Linked DNA regions of Schizosaccharomyces pombe. Each later gene encodes a partner of the first gene's protein in a complex. Each region holds a gene or a part of one and is shown on either strand. Other genes may lie near its edges.

Region 1 (3,756 bases):
TAGAGCGGTTGTTATTACTCAAATTTATTATGGTGGGACCAACAGATTAATCAAATGGGAGGCTGTACAGAAATGCTTTCCTAACCGGGACATATATGCTCTTACTAGAAGATATTTATCCATTAGACAACATACAAAATTTAAAGGCTTGCAACAGTTTTTATCAGAAAATTGGCAGCAAATGTACAAAGATGCTGTCTCAAGAAAAGATTTAATGCCATATCCTGATTCTGTTGATGATTTTGATCCTACCCCATATGTTAAGGCGTCTTGTAGACCTTATATGATTAGTTCTTCAAATCTTGCTACTACTAGGTTACCGAGAGACCTCGTTGACGTTTATGAAACTTACAATATAGAGGTTGTTAAACAAGAAACTAATTTCCGGGAAATGATATTTGATCCTTCCCTGTCAGTTGCCTCGAAAATGAATGCGTATTGTGATATGCCTTTTACCATGCCGCTTTCCTTAAATGACAAACAAAATAATGAAGGGGATGAGAATTGTGAGAAAGGTCAGTTGTTTGATGCGAAGTCTACTATCAAGAGCATCGTTGCCATCCCAGACGCTACATATGATGCTCGGTTTTCGCAAGAACGTCTTATGCAGTATCCAGAAGATATTCTCATCGCTGCTCATCAAGAATTATTGGATAAGAGAATAATTACTAGAGTTAATTCAGAAAACAGTAGATTGCAGCCTGGTCGAAACTTCCAGTTTACGGAGAAATTTGCAAGTTCCCTCAAGTCTCCTTTACCTCCATTTTTATTGTCACAAGCCAAGCGATTTAATAAATTTTTATTGGAGGGTTTTCAAAATCATAAGAATCATTTATTTGAAGAAACATCTAACAGTGGAACTCTCGCATGTATCCTTGATTTATTATCTCAAGGAAAGTTGCAAATATCTATAGTCGGAAGCAAGTTTAATGAGTATGGTCTATCTGAAGGCTATCGTACTCGTTTGCTAGAACATGACAATATCAATGTAACTCTTGTTCTCAGCGGCAAAGAAAGTGAATCTAAAAAAAATTATGGTGTTACTGAAAAGTTGGCAACTCCACCTTCGCATGAGCCACGGCTATGGTTAAATGGTAAATGCGAGCTTATTGAGATGATATGGATGAATATCGAGCAGTCCATTGTATACCAACTGCTTCGAAAACCCGGAATCTTGAGATCCCAACTGACTAACTTACTATTTCCCGGATTAGAACCCCGTGAGTTTAACGAAGTACTTGATTACTTTATAGCAGCAGGTGCCGCTATTGAAAAGGATGGCTTATATCTAAACCATAATTATCTCTTTAAATTAACTTAGCCTTTTAAATGTCACCATGATGAGATGATGCAAGCTGAGTATTTTCTTTCAATAGGCTTGTCGATTTGGAACATTTATATTACAAGCAACGATTTAATGTTTATTTGTACAGTATTTAGGATTCATTTTTAAATTATCTAAAAGATACCACGCTGTGTCTGCTTCTAATCTATAATTAATTATATTAGCGTGTTTTGAATTAATCTGATTTCGCGTTTTCTTCCATCTAAACTTTATATCGTATAAAAATCAAAAAGGTTTCATCGACTGTTTTGCTGAAAAGGTGAAGAAAACTTGAATCGAGGTTATCTCTTTTCTTTCTGTTTTATGTACATAACTTTAGCTCCTATAGAAAAAAGAAAAAACCTGCATCATGTAGATTTGTTTAACTAATTTACGTATGCATATATATATATATATATATATATTAGTAGAGTAAGGTTGATTTTCTAACCATACTTTATTTACGGTAGCATCATTCGTACCTTTTCGTACGTTACGACCACGTTGAAAGTTTTCAAAGAAATTACTTTTTAAACACAAAAGAACATAAATAAAAGAGAAGTAAATATGTCAGACAGTCCAATTGAACTTATGCGGTCCACGCTTGCTGGTTTTCAAATTGCACCAGATGTGAAAACCATCTCAAACATTCAAGACATTCGCGCACAGATACAGAGCTTCAGAGAAAAAGAATTGGAAGGATCTCAAACCAAATTTAAAGGTTAGTTTTAATCTAGAAATAAACGACCATGCATTAACTGTGAATAGTGCTTTCAAGAAAATTAGAAATATCTACCCAGGCTATGGAGTCATTAAAACAAACAGCAGAGTCATCACAACACGCTGAGGAGATTTTAAGCAGGGAAAAGGAGAAATTTAGGATAGCCAAGTTGTTGAATATCACTGAGAACGAAATTATGAGTTTAGAATCTCAATTGCAGAAAATGAAGGAACAGCTACTACAACTTGAGGAACGCGAAAATACTTCTGAAGACATATGTCAGTCAGAGGAAAATGCGAATATGTTAAAGCTGAACTTTTATCATTCTTTAGGCTTCGATTTAGAAACTGCTGAGAACACTGGGAATAAAAGGGTTATAATACGTATGTCATTTGCTCATAATTTGAATTTACCTTTCAATTTTTTATCTTTAAAAAGCTTGATGATATGAAAAATTCAAGCTTTAAAATTGAACTTTAAAACTGTTTTTCGAATCTACTCACACTTTCCTAGATACCGAAAACGATTTGCAAACGGTACAAATCAGCAACAAGTATAGCCCATATTTTTATTCTAATTATTTTTGGGATTTGCTTGATGATAGTAAGGACAAAAAATAGATGGCACTATTATTTTATTTATTTATTTAATCTTGATTGTGTATACCGGTTTTTAAACATGACTCAACATAACGAATGGCCGCTATAAGAGAATCCAATTTGATATTATACAATTTGGCTACCATGATAGTAACCCGATGAGCTGTATTTTCTGTATTAGGTGAAAAAGGAAGCATTGATATATAAGCATCCTTTCGTCGTGAAAAGTCCATTTTATCAGACTCTTTAATGCCTACAGGTTTGAACACTTGTTCTAACTTTACATCTTCAGCAATGACGGATTCGTCGGTGAGTATATCTGTAGGTTGATTTTCTTGTAAATGGCTGTCTTTCGAAAGAATCGGAAATACGTTAAGAATTCCTTCTGGAATATTATTTGGGTTGTTTTCTTCGACAAACTCTTTTTCATACCATTGAAAATATTTATCCATTTCAGAGTTATTGAGCGTCAAAATGGATTGCTCGTCTATCTCGTAGAACTTGTCTTTTTCTTTCTCATTAATTTTTTGCACTTGGGATAACCACATGTTCCAGTTGGTTTTAACAGTGAACATCGAGTCTTTGTATTTGGAATTTCGAGTTTGGGCATCATCAAACCCATAACATACATTTGCTGCTACTAAGATGGTAGCGAGTAACATAACCTCCGCATCAGATAACTTTTCATGTATCGATTGAGCACTGCGTATTTTGCTTTGATAATTATCGCTAGAGGTACCTTGAAGTGAAATCTGCGAGTGAACGAGATTTAGTAAACGAGAAGCAGGTATGAAGATTTCTAAGGGAAAAAAGAAACTGTTAATAAGCTCAAAAAGTATCAATGGCTCATTAGGTGGAGGAACTTTTAGTTCGTATTTAGATACTAAAACGTCAACCAATGTCAAGACAGCGGATTGTATGCGTTGATACGTTGGATAATGAAAAGGAATTAGCATCCTTACATAGTTTTTTTGAAGCCTTTTAAATATTTTTAGAGGTATCTGTTTATACGCTCTATAATATGGAATAATATTTTTCCTTATTAAAACTTCGAGTTTATGAATGGTCAGAGGCAGTCTTAGTAAAAGACAGGCGACATAAATAAAGGCAGA
Region 2 (3,756 bases), 1.6 Mb from region 1:
ATTATCAAGCTATATTGAAGGGATGAAAACCGTTGACTAATTATCTAATTTTATTTATTTGCTAATTGTAACGAGTTCAAAAATTCTATTGTTCTATACAAAATTTGTAATTAATATGAATGTAAACTAAATTCACGCAATCATTAATTGTTAATTTGGAAGCTTGATATTATTACGATTCGCATTTTACATAGCTGCTGTCACTATTTTTAAGAAAAGAATCGGATTTTTTTAACAATTCATTGTTTAGCGCTATTATATTACAACACTTCTTTTTTTTTTTTTTTGTTATAGTAAACCGCTAATGCAAACTACATAGGACTATTAGCTCCAATCGTTCACCATATTGAATGGAAGAGTAAAGATAATCTTATTGATGAACATCCCTATTTTGTAACAAGACAAAAGCAAGCTTTAAGCAATTCGGGATAGTAAGTTCAACTTTCTAAATCGTAATTCACATACGTACTTAAAACAACAGTAAAAGATAACGAAATGTGCTTTGTTGGGATAAAATATGTTCATCAATGTACATTTGTATATATGCGATAATGAAATTGATTTGCTGCGACTTAATACGACCAGTGTTGGTACGTCAAGTATCAAGTGATCGCACGCATCGTGAAAACTTCAGTAGTAAAAAATCATCAGTATACTTTATATCAATTTTTTTTTTATAAAAAAAAAAAGGCGCATGATGAGGTGGATGGGAAGATTCCCATTTTACACTGAAAACTACACTTAATGATCCAAGGACAAAAAACTTTATACACAAAAAGCCACAAACTATCTGTCTTCGGCCCATTCCTGCAAGCGGTTAGAATTAAGTTAATAAAGTACCAAGGAACGTACATTTTCTTTACGGATTTGCTCTTCCTCCTCAGGCGTAAAATCATTAGGGATGTTAAATGTTTTCCGAATGTCCTCAGGACTCTTGCCACGAATCATGTTGGCAACGGTTTTACAACCAGTATCAAGCAAAGGTTTAATATCCAAATAATTGCTTGCCAAAACTATCTCGAACAACATTTCCTGGTCTACGGCCATAAACTTACGATCCCATTCATCAATATCGGTAGACTTTTTTAATCTAATGTCACTTTCCTCCTCAGTTCCTGAATACAAATCGTTTTTGTGATGCTCACACCATTCGAGTACCTTTCGCAAAACGTTCGATGATACGTTTGGAAGAGGAATGGGGACATTAATCTCACCAACGTCTATTGAAATTGAGATTTTAGTAACAGGGTCCATAATAATTATTGCACTCAACAAGCGCTTGTATAGATCATACCTTCAAGCATATTTTTTATAAGCATACTTCTCTCAGCGATCAGTTGATCTATAAACAGTTTGTCAATTCACTCAATTCAAAACATTCTCCGTTCTACATACCGACCACGAACTCTTCATTGTCAGATGAAATCAGTTTGATTTTGGACATTGTTGATGTATGTAAGTAATGGATGAATGAAAGTTAAGCTGTTAGCATTTCTAGTTATGCTGATATTCCTACAGTGGCAGAACTCACTAATTCGATATTGGGAAAAGGTGCTAACCCTCATTAAATCAAATTGCATAGCAGAACGATCCCACCGTGATAGCTAAAAAAGGCTACTGAAGAATAATAAAAGAAAGCATAGAAATTGAGGTTTAAGATGAGTCCGTACTATTAATGTATAATTCGAATATAGTTAATATTAGTGTATTCCTCCACTAGAGCTTAGTTGAGGATATAGAAACTCTAGTAATGATTTACCAAGCACAAATCAAAAGCCACACTTCTAAGCAACTAACAAAATAAACCGACTAAACTGTTAATCGCCTGAGTTATATGTTCCTCACAGCAATAAAAACAGCAACAAATCTATGTATTATTCATACTTTTTGATGGGATATACGGAAATCCCTTTTACCTCGTTATTATCATATCTGAGTACACCAGACAAAATGCAACATGGGGTTGGTACATTGCAGAACAACTTGCCGTTTAAAAATCATAACTCACTAGTTTCCTCTTTGGAAGCTAATCAGTGTTTTCAATGTAAAGGAATTAATTAAAAAATGTTAGTGGAGTTACTAGAATTCACTCCTCTCTCCTTCATTGATGATGTGATCAACATTACGAACCAACTGTTATATAAAGGTGTAAATGGTGTGGATAAAGCCTTTTCACAAACGCGGTTTGCTAAAAAAGCGCCACAGGAAATAGAAGAAGGACTACACAAGTTCGAGGTTCTCTTTGAAAGTGTGGTGGATCGTTACTATGATGGTTTCGAGGTGTATACACTTCGAAACATTTTTAGTTATCCACCAGAGCTAAAAGGCTACATGCGTACGTTTGGAAAGGATGTAGACTATTCAATCACAACAGAGCAAGACGCCGCCATGGATCAAGCAATTCAAGAGGCTGCAGAAAAACTCGTAGTAAAGATGCAACTACGTCGTGACCTTCGCATGCGTCTCAGCAGGAAAAGAGAAAAAAAAACAGAAATAGAAAAGCATTTGGAAAGAATTTCTTTTCTCAACAAAGTACCCGAAAATTGGCAAGTTACTTTACCAGAAACTACCGATTTCCTTCTTGATCAACTTGGTAATCTGCAGCATGCCGTTAAAAGAGTAGTTGAAGCCTCTCCCACTGTACACTCACGAGAGGTGGATGAAAGAATTACCTACTTAGAAAAAGGTTACGAACGATTATCTAATCCCATCGACCAGCAAAAGGATTTTTGGTCACATCACTTGTCAAAACTAGAATCGACAGCCAATACTGAAACTGCAAATAACATTCATAAGTTGCTATTGTCATCTGAAAAAGACGTCGGACATACTGACGAGCCTTAATACTAATCAACTAGCTAAAGTCTTGAGATGTTCTAACAATTGTGATCGTTTACGTAAACTTTCATAATAAATATATAAGAATTGGCGTTGGATCTCTAGCGAAAGCAAAGTAATGCTTAATAAAGAAAACTTGGATTGTCTCTGTCACTTTTTCCGTTACATTTTTATTTGTTTTGTTTAACTTCTCTTTTTTCCTAAATAACTGAATGGATAATAATTATTCTGACCCATTAACTCCAAATCTGTCAAACAATTCGACACTTGTACATTTTTCATGCTCTGCCACTTTGCCAATCATTCCCAAAGCAATATCCCGTATTTCATTATAGGTATGGAGTAGATCGATATGTTTTTGTACAGTTTGCTTAGCATCTCGATTTCTAAATCATTTGTCAACATTAGATAAAACGAGACAAGCTTGATGATGACTTGAATAGATTTGATGGAACGGCAATACATTGCTTTTCCCAAAATGAACCTGAACGCGCGTAAAGGCGCATAACTCATATTTTCTACCATTTCTAGCATCACTTTACCACACTTACTTTAGCTTAGCTAAAGCGTCTTGTAAACTACTTTCCAATTGCTCCTTCTGCTGTTCAAGCAAATGGACGCGTGACTCAAGTTGAGACTGCAGTAATTCATCAGTATTTTGTGAATGAACAATGGTACCGTTGGCTTACCTTTTCCATACGATTTAAACAGTTCTTTCTTAATGAAGCAATGATGTGTGAAATTTACTAGGAAGGTATCTGTTTTTGAACACCTAGTAGAAATTAAGTTGTTGAGGAAGGCAGGAGCCTACCGATTTGTTCAATTGAAAACAATGTCTATTGTTCTTGTAAGAGAGAATTTAGATTAGTGATGAAAGACAAGTAAATTGTTGAATCACGAACAATGGCTTATTTCAAT

The links. Proteins that work in one complex are often made in the same cells at the same time.
Region 2: spc24 (region 1) and mis12 share a complex: the UniProt entries of both Schizosaccharomyces pombe proteins name them as parts of the NMS super complex.

The regions. Positions count from the first base shown.
Region 1 is NC_003423.3:2,753,614-2,757,369, forward strand, and holds the start of spc24 (protein Spc24), read left to right. Parts: upstream 1-1,812; 5' UTR 1,813-1,891; coding exon 1,892-2,045; exon of another isoform or gene 2,046-2,092; coding exon 2,093-2,428; exon of another isoform or gene 2,429-2,558; coding exon 2,559-2,665; 3' UTR 2,666-2,691; coding exon of another isoform or gene 2,692-3,756. Other genes in the region: transcription factor TFIIIC subunit Sfc3, read left to right, coding at 1-1,321; RNA polymerase I general transcription initiation factor subunit Rrn7, read right to left, coding at 2,692-3,756. UniProt on the Schizosaccharomyces pombe protein: Acts as a component of the NMS (Ndc80-MIND-Spc7) super complex which has a role in kinetochore function during late meiotic prophase and throughout the mitotic cell cycle.
Region 2 is NC_003423.3:1,137,836-1,141,591, reverse strand, and holds the start of mis12 (MIS12/MIND complex Mis12), read left to right. Parts: upstream 1-1,973; 5' UTR 1,974-2,064; coding exon 2,065-2,844; 3' UTR 2,845-3,061; coding exon of another isoform or gene 3,062-3,224; 3' UTR 3,225-3,389; coding exon of another isoform or gene 3,390-3,475; 3' UTR 3,476-3,527; coding exon of another isoform or gene 3,528-3,536; 3' UTR 3,537-3,756. Other genes in the region: SCF ubiquitin ligase complex subunit Skp1, read right to left, coding at 787-807, 853-1,220, 1,295-1,342, 1,396-1,444; protein Swi5, read right to left, coding at 3,062-3,224, 3,390-3,475, 3,528-3,536. UniProt on the Schizosaccharomyces pombe protein: Acts as a component of the NMS (Ndc80-MIND-Spc7) super complex which has a role in kinetochore function during late meiotic prophase and throughout the mitotic cell cycle.